Linked DNA regions of Solanum lycopersicum. Each later gene encodes a partner of the first gene's protein in a complex. Links are inferred from orthologs where the notes say so. Each region holds a gene or a part of one and is shown on either strand. Other genes may lie near its edges.

What was found. The genes of interacting proteins can lie anywhere in the genome.
Region 2: the proteins of signal recognition particle 43 kDa protein, chloroplastic (region 1) and signal recognition particle 54 kDa protein, chloroplastic are in contact, whole or in part, in an NMR structure (PDB 2HUG), measured with the Arabidopsis thaliana proteins. The link is inferred for Solanum lycopersicum from reciprocal best matches to the Arabidopsis thaliana genes CAO and CPSRP54. Residues at the interface, in NP_566101.1 of Arabidopsis thaliana: Glu268, Tyr269, Ala270, Glu271, Val272, Lys283, Val289, Trp291, Glu298, Trp299, Val300, Lys301, His304, Val305, Ala306, Val309; in NP_196014.1 of Arabidopsis thaliana: Pro532, Gly533, Thr534, Ala535, Arg536, Arg537, Arg539, Lys540, Ala541, Asp542, Ser543.
Region 3: the proteins of signal recognition particle 43 kDa protein, chloroplastic (region 1) and inner membrane protein PPF-1, chloroplastic are in contact, whole or in part, in a crystal structure (PDB 5E4W), measured with the Arabidopsis thaliana proteins. The link is inferred for Solanum lycopersicum from reciprocal best matches to the Arabidopsis thaliana genes CAO and ALB3. Residues at the interface, in NP_566101.1 of Arabidopsis thaliana: Asp273, Glu274, Asp312, Tyr313, Gly316, Leu317, Glu318, Tyr319, Ala320, Val321, Ala322, Trp343, Asp345, Met346, Thr350, Glu352, Asn356, Asp358; in NP_180446.1 of Arabidopsis thaliana: Lys454, Arg455, Ser456, Lys457, Arg458, Lys459, Arg460, Thr461.

Annotation. Positions count from the first base shown.
Region 1 is NC_090801.1:66,170,889-66,173,919, reverse strand, and holds signal recognition particle 43 kDa protein, chloroplastic, read right to left. Parts: upstream 1,718-3,031; coding exon 611-1,717; 3' UTR 501-610; downstream 1-500.
Region 2 is NC_090808.1:3,907,497-3,911,796, forward strand, and holds the start of signal recognition particle 54 kDa protein, chloroplastic, read right to left. Parts: upstream 2,801-4,300; 5' UTR 2,722-2,800; coding exon 2,557-2,721; intron 2,482-2,556; coding exon 2,352-2,481; intron 1,218-2,351; exon of another isoform or gene 735-1,217; coding exon 667-734; intron 594-666; coding exon 492-593; intron 350-491; coding exon 197-349; intron 1-196. Other genes in the region: putative pentatricopeptide repeat-containing protein At3g11460, mitochondrial, read left to right, coding at 3,571-4,300.
Region 3 is NC_090810.1:57,205,605-57,209,876, reverse strand, and holds the start of inner membrane protein PPF-1, chloroplastic, read right to left. Parts: upstream 2,801-4,272; 5' UTR 2,629-2,800; coding exon 2,305-2,628; intron 1,381-2,304; coding exon 1,270-1,380; intron 1,023-1,269; coding exon 948-1,022; intron 540-947; coding exon 479-539; intron 1-478. UniProt on the Arabidopsis thaliana protein: Required for the insertion of some light harvesting chlorophyll-binding proteins (LHCP) into the chloroplast thylakoid membrane.

The DNA.
Region 1 (3,031 bases):
TACAAAACAACAGAAAACATCATCCATACAACCTCGAATAGGAGTACTCCCTCAAATAGGGATAGCTTCAGGTACTAATATTAGATTGGTAAAAGCTATCAGCCAGCCAGACATCAAAACCTAACTCAACAATACAAGTCTGCTAAAACTCTCAGCTTCAGACTGCGTACTCAGAAGTCAGAATTCTAACACCACTACGGCTTCAGACATGGATGAATCCGCAGTGGCACATTTTGCAAAAGTAATTCACAACTACCACCACCTTTTCACTTAAAACTATCTCCTAGAATCTTCTTCATGACCCTTCAGAGGGTTTTCACTTCATTCAACAAAGATATCAATTCAATTGTTAAAAACATCCACCTTTACAGAGGATTCGGACAATCACCAATAGAACGTAATATTTGATTGGTTAGTATCATTTAAGAATTAAGATATGCTAAAGGGTGATCTTCAATTTTCCAGATTTGGATCACTAAAAGGAAATTATCCTCAACCTGTTAGACAACCTCAGAATTACATACATTACCACAACTATAGTTTATAAAACAAAAGAGCATTATATTACCACAGAAAAAGAAAAATACAAGCCAAAAGAGAAACCATGAATTCAACTTACTACTTTCTGTTGACCTTTTTCAAAATCTTCTATCAGAAGGGGGTCAACATTTTCTTCTGGTTCCCAAGTAGCCTCCTCAATATCAGTCCATTTAACCAAGTACTCGCCTTTCCCGTTGTCACCCTCTCTCTTCTCCAAGATGCACTCTGCCTCTGCATATTCCAATCCAGCCTCAAAATCTCTCACCAAATCCTCAGATATCAGCCATGCTTTAACCCATTCATTATCCTCCCCATCCTTCCATTTCACTAAATACTCAACATTTTCACCTTTTCCTCTCTTCTCCAATATCTCCTCCACTTGTGCATACTCAAAAATTGCATCCTCCAATACCCTAATCACATTCTCTAATCCCAATCTCCTCGCGAATTGCATTGGGTTTCCTTTAGGTGTTTGATTCAAGACCATCCTCGCTAAGCTCAGCGGCGTCTGCCCTCTGTAATCTTGCACCTCGGGGTCTGCGCCGAGCTCAATTAACAGCTTAGCGACTCCAGGCTTCACATATCCTGCAGCCATATGCAGAGCCGTCAAACCGCCGCTCCTGTCGCGGTAATTGACGTCGGCGCCGGCTTCAGCGAGCAGCTTGACGCAAGGCTCCGACCCGAGTCCCGAAACAAAGAGCAAAGCCGTTCGTCCATCGTCATCAACAGCATCCACATCTCTGTCGTCCTCGGCTTCAATAAGTTCCCGAAGAGCCGATTCATCTGACTTTTTCGCAGCGTTCCACCAAGGGGTTTCATACTCAGCGACAACATCTTGTGCGATGAAATTAGAGGGAACCCAGGTAGGGGCATGTTCATCTTTCCACTCAATCAAATACTCCATTCCTTTCCCACCTTCAATTGCTCGACTCCCAATGATTTTGTTAACTTCTCCATACGTTTCGTCGGCATCGTAATCTTCAAATTCTTCTTGTGCTACTTCTTCGGCTGCTGATTGTTGTTGGTGTTGGTTCTGAAGCGTGGCAAATACAAGTGGTAAATTAAGTTTTTTAAGTGGGAGATAAGAGTGATGGGGCAGGGGAGAGAATGTAGGAAATTGAGAAGAGAATTTGAGTTTGAGTCGGGAGAGAGATGAATTGACAAAGAGAGCATCCATTGGAGAAGTGGGAAAGAGATTTGGTGGCGCTCTTTCTTTTGAATGGCCATGAACATCTCCATAATCCTATGAGATGGATGCCTTTAGGATAAGATATTATATCTATTCACTTCACTAAATCAATCAATTCGAGTTCTAGATATGAAGTATTATTATTTTAAGGGATAATGTCCAAGTACTCCCTTAATCTATGTTCGAAATTTCAGAGACACACTTATACTATACTAAGGTCCTATTACCCCTGAACTTATTTTATTAATAATTTTTTACCACTTTTTAGCTTACGTGGCACTATTTTGTGGGCCCAATGATGATTGACTTTTTTTTTGAACTAGTGCCACGTAGGCTAAAAAGGGGTAGAAAATTACATATACAATAAGTTCAAGAGGTAATAGGACCTTAGTAGTATAAGTGTGTCTCTGAGATTTCGGGCATAAGTTGAAAGGGTACTTGGGCATCTTCTCTTATTTTAAATAAATTTTGTGTATTAAATTTAGTTGTGCTTCAAACACAACTGAAAAAACAAAAGAAGAACTGCTGTAAGGCATGTTCAAATGATCAAAGATTGCAATTACAATTGTGATGGAGCGATAAATTATTTTTTAAAAAATATTTCTTGAATTCAAGCGTTCTGTTACTATATGAATTTAAAATTAATTTAATGATAAAAAACAAAATAAAAATAGTCAAAAAGTTCTTTACCATAAATGTTGTATTTTTTTTTTGTCAATATATATTTAATCTGCTAATGTACATAAATATTTTAATTCACTATGTTTCTATTTAATCAACTTATGTTTATGTTCATAATGTTAGTAATTTTTATGTTTTGGGTGAGAGAATCTTGGAAAAGAATGGCATCGGACATTTAAAATCATATAAACTTTTTTTTAAAAAAATTATTTATATCAAATTAATTTAATTTTTATTATTATATTAATAAATTAAAACACATATTAATTAATTAAAAATAACTAAAATGAACTATACATTTTCACCTCTTAAAGCTGATTTTGTAGATTTTGTGTTATACGTACTTGTATGAAATTCAACCAATTACATCACGTCAACGCAAAAGTGAAAGAAAAGGGCTATAGAAAAAAAATTAAATATTCATCTTAAATTTTCAACGATTCAATTACTTTGAACAATAAAAAATTCTCAAATATTCTGTTAATATGAAATAGAAAAAGTACCTAATAAAGAAAAATAATTAATAATTAATGTTGAGAAAATTATGAAATAACAAACTATTAATTCAAATTAAATACAATAGTAATAATTTCTTTAATTTGTAATCAGCAGCAAAACGTT
Region 2 (4,300 bases), on another chromosome or scaffold:
GACCATGCCACCAGTGCCCATAAATGGTTTGACAATAGAATGAGAAAAAGGGAAAATGCTAATATTAGAAGGCACTTGGAGAAATGCAGGTTCTACGACCATATATGTAAATTGCAATAGAATGAGCAAGAGAGAGGGGAGTGAGAGAAAGTAAAGGAAGGTCAGGAAAGGGAGAAGGTGAAGTTTGGAAGTCCACCTGCTTCTTTAGATATAAAGCTAACTTTGCACTAACAGTTGTCTTCCCAACACCTTGTAGACCGGCCAATAGTATTACGGTGGGCTTAGATTTAGCAAAAACCAGTTCAGAAACCTCTCCACCCATCAGTTTCACAAGCTCGTCACGTACAGTCTACACCAACCAAATGAGACAAAGAAAATGTTCAGATCGAGCTGATAGCAAATTGTGCAAGCAATTAACAACAGAAGGGTGACCGTCTGTTATCAATGTACAAATGTGTATTGTTCAGAGTCATCAGTTCAAAAATACATACCTTAACTAGTTGCTGATCTGGTTTTACACCTCGAATCAAACCAGTGCCAACGGCTTCTTCACTAACAGACTGAACAAACCTTCTGACAACTGGGAGACTAACCTGCCGATTAAAGTTAAATAAGCGGCGAAATTTTATGTATAGAGATTAGTTGTTGAAACAGTAAGCAACATACATCAGCTTCTAAAAGAGCCCTCCTGATGTCCCTCATAGGTTCCACGATGTTTTCCTTGGTCAAAACCTCTGAGGCACAAGGAATTCAAACAACAGCCACTTTATCATTATATATAACCACATATTTAGTAACAAGGGCAATAAGAACTTCAACCTCTAAAATTTGAAAGATTGAGGATATAGAAAATATGATTAGAAATTTGAATTTGGACAAGGCAGACAAGTCACATTTTTAACAGTAAAATACTCTCCAATTAATTTATTCCTACAACTTTATAATATCCAGCAATAATGTATGGAACTAAAAAGGAGAAGTATATCCCTGTTATAGAAATCCAATGACCCATAGGCCATAGTTGTTAATATGTTGTACTCTTTGCATTTAAAACCTTATAGTAGCAAGGCCCCTTCCCTTTCCATACACTTCATTGGAGTTTAACAATCAATTATACATCTTCCCGGTTTCTTCTCTTGAAGTATAATTCATTATACCCCATCTGGCACCTCCTCGAATGGATCAATATTACCATCTACGACAACTCATCATCCACCCTGAAAATGAAATCAGTCATGTTGTTGAATCCTCTAAACACGCGGGATTTAAGTCTAGACATTAAGCTTCATGTTCCAACTTATATAGCTTCTATCTCCACATCACCCCGTCCTGACAGCCCACATTTCCACTAAAACATTCTCATAGCAGAAGGTTAGCTCAACTACTTACCACTTCAAGAATCAATTGGCTTGGGCATAAAATACTGGGATTTCCTGTCCCACTCTATCTCCGAAGCCTCAACATCCATAAAGGAACTCCTCACTGATACATTTTCAGCTCTGATGTATGTTAAAATCTTGGATATGAGACGTAATTCCTAATTAAGGATCTATTCCAGGTTGTGTTTATTTTGTATTTCAGCATGTTAAAATCTTGTAAAATGAGACTTAATTCCTATTTAAGGATCGATTCCAGGTTTTTATATTTTTTTTTGTAAGTCTTGCTGAACTCATTCACCAAGATTGATATGACCCTTGGATGACTACATGCCACATTTTGAAGAAGCTTTAGTTCACTCCTATCTTATCTCACAGCCTTTACTTAGCAAAGGCATTTACTTTAACTGAAATTGTGATGACATCAAATAAACACCTCTGATGTACTAATGAATTATCTTAAGATATTATCCTGAATATGAAAAAACAAGAAGACATTGTTCTTGAAGTCATATTTTTGAACTATCATCCCTATCCAAGGTATCGATTTTCAGTTCCCTTTCAAAACAGTCCAGATATGACACCCGGGCCTAACTCCAAAAACTAGCTCACGACGGAAGGATTACCCAATCCATATAAACTGATTTGGGACTATAACCCACTTTAACACCTCATGCCTAACTAGAGCATAAACCGGGAGTCCAAACAGGTATGAACCTAGCTAAGTAGCTACGATAGCATATAAAGATATGACACTTACGCCTAACTCAACCTCAAAACGTTAGCTCACGAAGAGAGGATCGTCCAAGTCCACATAACAGACCACCGGTCCATTCCCAACCAACCAACATGCGACTCTAACACACTCTAACATGTACCTACTCAAGATTAACAATTCAAGCTCCCATACTTCAAATTTTCACATAAAACTAGCTCATTTTTAAATTTAAAAAAGAGTATTTTTTTTGCTTTTACCTTCTCCTTTGAGCTTGTTCCAAGCATTTTCCAATCCGCTAGTGAGCTGCCCAAACATCTCAGCTCTAATAACTCCACTCATTTCCCTTCTTACCACATTCTTGGAATTGATCACCCTCCATGTATCCCTCTACATAAAAATTCAATCTTTAACCAAAAACTACAAAAAAAAAAAAAAACTAACCAAAATCCAAAAGGGTCTTACAGTAAATGAATTTCTTGAAGAAAATGAAAGAGAATGAGTAGAACCAATCCAAGAAGAAGAAGAATTACAAGTGGGATTAAGTTTAGAAGATGAAAGGGTGGCTTTAGAAAGTGGAAAGAAATGGTGAGAAGCCATAGTTGAAGTGAAAGAAGCAGTGGCTTCCATGGTAGGATTAAAGAACAAACAATCAAAAGAAGAAGCAAAAATTGAAGCTTTTTTCTTCTTCTTTTATGCTTTATCCATTAGAAAAAAAAACAAAAATGTAATCTATGGTCTATCTACTAGGGGGATTTTTACAGTATTCTGTGCATCGCAGGCTATCGTAATATCCTACTCCATCAACTTATTTTTATTTTTAACGTCGGAATGATTCTTATTAAGTGACGTCAAAATATAATCTAAAAAAATAGATATATACTCAAAAAATTTTTTTTGCTATTTGTAACCTCTATATTTAACATTCTTATGTCTTTGTTGTGTCGAACACTTAAATATATATATTCGTTAAATCAATCGTTAGAGTATTTATCACGGCTCAAATTCATGTTTTTCTTGTGAATTTTGCTCAAGCTACCTCATAAATGTATTTAAAATTGTAGGACAAATTTTAGCGAAAACTAAATCTATGAGGATGGCACGACTGGGATTGCTTCGAAGAAGAAATTCCATTGAGCCATCAGGCGACTCAGTCTCAAATCTCAATCCTACGTGAACCAGAAGTCTTATACCACATCTGAAGATATAAATGCTTTCGTAGAAACTAAAATTCGCTCACTTTCTTGAGATCCAAAGAAGAGCAGAGCTTCAACACCGACTATCCTTCTATTTTATCAGGAGAAACGCGCTTATGAACATGTCTCGCCTCAACGGACCATTGTGTATGCATGCAAGTTTTTAGACTCGATAATAACATAGGTTGAGAAAATATTTCATGAGATTCGTTAAGCTAAAACAGATAATACGTTATATAAAAATGCATTAAAGCAATGATTCACCCCTTTTTTGTCTAAATAAATGACCGAACATCTCCACCTTCACAAAAACACCAAATTCTTGTCACTTTTCCATACTATCAAATCCACCATTTTCACCAAAGCTTCAAGCTTTACTACTAATGCTGCTACTCCATGGAATACCCATTTGAGAAATCTCTCAAAACATGGTCAGTACAAAGAAGCACTCGTTCTTTACCGTCAAATGCTTCAATCTGGAGCTACCCCAAATGCCTTCACTTTCCCTTTTGCTCTCAAATCTTCAGCTTCACTCTCCCTTCCTATTACCGGAAAACAACTTCATTGTCATGTTATCAAGTTGGGTTGTGAGTATGAGCCTTTTGTTCAAACTGCATTGATGTCTATGTACTGTAGATGTAAGTTAACTGAGTTTGCACAGAAAGTGTTTGATGAAATGCCTCAAAGAAATATTACTGTTTGTTACAATGCTTTGATTTCTGGGTATGTTCAGAATGGTAATTTCTTGAATGGGTTTTTGTTGTTTGATGAAATGAGGTTGAGAGGAGTGTTGTTTAATGCGGTTACTGTTTTGGGATTGGTTCCAGGTTGTACTGCTTCGCGGTATCTGTGGTTGGGGATGTCGTTGCATTGTTTGAATGTTAAGTGCGGATTGGTGAATGATTTGGCTGTTGCAAATTGCCTGTTGACAATGTATGTGCGTTGTGCGTGTATGGAGTTAGCGAGGAAGTTGTTTGATCATATACCAGAAAAGGGATTGATCACTTGGAATG
Region 3 (4,272 bases), on another chromosome or scaffold:
TTGTGCTGCTTCGACGGAATAAATTATCAGACTTACACACCAAAAAACAAGGCAAAAGGGAGTTGATAAAATGAAAGTTATGAATGAGGAACTAACTTAATGACAACTTCATATGCCACAGACAACCAGAGATTGACAAGGAATAAAACTGAAATCCAGATCAAACAAATTATGGAAGGAAGAATATCACCAGGCAACCAGTTCTAAGATGTACTCAAATAAGACTAAAAATGCAAAACCTAGACCACAGAAGGACAAACTATGGATCAACATATAACTAATTCTTTAACTGATAAATGGCTCTTACAACTCCAGGAGATATAATTTGTGCTTCACTACTAGCTAGGAAAGAAAGCCATGGCAAGTTTCTTATAACATATATGCCCAATGCTTTAAACCAAGTAAGTAGATCAAACAGAAATAGCAAATGGAAGCATAACTAGAGAAGAGACCGCTGACTGCAACAATGAAAACTTACCTGCAAGAGGATTGACCCCTGCCTGCTTATATAAACGTGAAGTCTCAAGTTGGATTCTCTCCTGAATGAAAGATAAGATAAAAAATGTAAGTTTGTTTTCTAAACACCTCACGGAAAAGGACACAACAACAATCAAAATTCTGTTAGTATAGCTTCACAACATTAGAAACACCTTTCCTTTTATTGAACAAGTTTTTTTATCACCATAAGCAATGTCCTTTTCTCTTTTGATAAGAGAAGTAATACTATGGCCACACAAAGTAAAAAAACTCTGAAGTACCCATATTAAGCTGAAATCTAACAAGCAAGTTGTAACAGTTACAGTATCAATCTGCTCATACTTCACTCTTTTTTACAGCACTAAGTACCAAAGAATACACATACATAGGTCAAATTTGGAAAGTCATATAGTTCTGAAAAGAAGTTAAGATGAAATAGAAAGTATCAATCAACATGAATTTGAGTGCACCTGATTTCCAGCATATCTTTGTTGAATAGCTTTGATCTTTGGTTGGAGATTTTGCATTGCTAAAGTTGATTCAACCTTTCAAATGACATAATGTCATACATCAGCAATAACTCCATTGCAGTGATTTAACAATTAATGAGGAAGAAAGGAACAGGGACTCCTGTTGACTTGAGTTTGACAAAACAATCAGTTATATTAATTTAAGTTCTCATCCCATTGCACTATTAATAATACCAGATAGACTTAACTAAGTGCCAAGACCTGAAATACCAGACCAACTCTAAAACATCCAGGCCTAGCAGCAGCTTTATCACAGACTCACCTGTTGCTTTGTCAAAGGGAAAGTGGCAGCTTTAACCAGGAGAGTAAGCAATATGATTGCGAATCCATAGGAATAAGGCACATGCACAGCTTGCAGTCCATCCTTCATCACCTGAAAAGACCGAAGTGAATGAGTGAATATAGAGTACATGAGGCATAATAGTATCAGTATTGCAAAAAGAAGGTCTTTTAAAACTAAAACCAAAAAATAATGCATCTAGAACTGAAACAAAATAAGCTTCAGTACTTGTACTTCTCCATGTGATCTATTGAAGATAACCAACCTGTCGTCCTATGATAATCTTGATAAGGTTTCTTCAGCATCCACTAATTTCCTTTTTCTTTATTGGGAGGAAAGACAGAAGGGGAGGAGGATAGTGGATGGTATGATAAGGGGGAAATCTGGTTGTCGACTTATACTAATATGAAAGATGACAAAAGTTAATAGATAAGTCTTTCAATAGGTAGAAAAAAAATTCAAAAAAAAAGTTTAGTTTACTTCAAGTGTTACCAAAGGTGAAAAGCAAAAATACATTTAAAAGAAACATACCCTCAAGTTTGTTAGAACTTTAACTGCAACGCATAAATAAAGTGTAGACTTTAATGAATAAAGGCGCAAATGAGGAGAAAAATAGAACACCTGTATAAGGCAAGAGTAATAACTGTAAACACAAACAACAACTATCCGGATAAAGTGTTCATAAAAGTTTAGTAGCTAGACAAAATCTTAGTAGGAAACATGATGTCAAACAATACTAGGTCCCTATACTTCTTCGGCCTGCCTCTATCTCTCCTAATGCCTGCTATTGCCAACCGCTCACACCTTCTCACTAGGACATCTACGTCTTCCCTCAAGTATTTCACCTCTCCTAACTTCTCATTCCTAATATGAAACTTAAAAGGTTATATAAACATGAAATAACGACACAAGGAAGCAAGTGAAATCATTATTATGAATATGCCCAACTTATATAAAATCCAAAAGACCGTAACAATGATCATAATTAGTTCAAAAGTATGTGTTACAAAATTTAACCTTCAACACAACTTCCATGGCGTCAGAAATGAAAGCAAACCAACCACCACTTTTCTGAGCAGTACCGGCAGCAGTAACATCGGGAGCAACACCAGGATCAGCCGCGACGGCAGCATCAGCTAACGTGTAGAGAAGTCCCTCCGCTCGGCTTACAACAGCTTCAAAATCAAAATTAGAGTGAAGCGAGTGAATCGGAGGAAGGTCATGGAAGCTGAATTTCACTCTAGTAGAGATAAGTCTTCGCCGGTGAAATACATGGCGAGAAAGCGACGGCAAAGGAGTTCCGATGAACGATGATGGAGATGAAATTAAGGTTTTCGCCATGGGAAAAATTGCTCCGGCGGGGATGAACGGAGAAAAATGGGAAGAGTTCAATTCAGCTTCTCATGGAAGAGAGGGAAATTTGTGGATTGGATGAGTGGCAGGAGAGCTATTAGAAGAGAAAAAATATCCCTATCCATTTTTTTCTTATTAAAATTCCGTTATTTTGTTTGGTATTTCGTTGTGGTTACTCCACAACTACTAATTTTTCTTTTTTTTTTTAAAAAAAAATGTATTTATTATTATAAGGGAAAAGGAATATGCCCCTAAACTATTTAAAAATATTTAGATATATCCTCCGTTTAAAGTTTGGTTCACTCATGCCTTTGCCATCCAACTTTTGGTCCAAATATGTTTTATGGGCGTTAGTTGTTATGTTGGACATATCCAACTTATTTTTCATTTCTTTTAAATGTCACATGTAATTGACATGTCATTTTGACCTTACCACATGATATTTATATAAAATGAAAAGGTATTCGGACTCATAAACACCTAATTCAACCCATAAATCAACCACCTTTTAAATAAATTATCCGACCAATTTTAACAATTTTGTTTAATTTTTATTTTTTTCGATAAATTCTAAAAATGAGTAATTGATTAATTAAAAAATAGGAAGAATATGAAAAAAATATATAATTAACGCCAAAAATTCACAAATAATTATAGTAACCTTAAATCAACTTAAACACTTTTTTAAATTTTTTTTATTTTTTTTGATAAATCCTGAAATGAGCAATTGATTAATAAAAAATATGAAAAAAATATAAAATTAACGCCAAAAATTAAAAAATAAATACAGTAACCTTAAATTAAATAATTTCAATATTTTTTTATTTTTAAAATTTTTCGGCAAATCCCAAAAATGAGTTATTAACAAAAAATAAGAAGAAGAAAAACTACGCAAAAAATTCACAAATAAAGAATAGGAAAATATGAAAAAATATAAAACAAAAAAATTGTTGAAATTATTGAATTTAAGGTTACTAAATTTATTTGTGAATTTTGACGTAAATTTTTTATTTTGTTTTCATATTTTTCGCTTTTTATTAATAAATTATTCATTTTCGGGATTTGCCGAAATTTTTTAGAAAAGTTATAGAATGAATACTATATTTATTTGTGAACTTTTGACGTTAATTTATATTTTTTTCATACTTTTTATATTTTTTATTAGTCAATTTCTCATTTTTGAGATTTACCGAAAAAATAAAAAAATTTAAAAAAATATTAAAATGTTAGATTTAAGGTTACTATATTTATTTGTGAATTTTTTGCGTTAGTTTTATATTTTTACATATTTTTCGTATTTTTTATTAATCAATTATTTTTTCGGGATTTACCAAAAAAATAAAAATTAAATAAAATTGTTAAAAATGGGTTGGATAGTGAATTTTAAAGGAGTTGATTTATGGGTCGAAAATGACAACTAACGCCCATAAGGGAATATTTGGACCAAAAGTTGGACGGCGAGGGCATGAGTGAACCAAACTTTAAATCGAGGATAAATCTAGACCTTTTCGAATAGTTTAAGGGCATATTTGACTCCTTTCCCTTGTTATAGATATATTGAATTAAATGGATTGTCCATTAAGCTTATCATAAACTTATCCTTATCATGGATATGTATTCCCAAGGTGATAT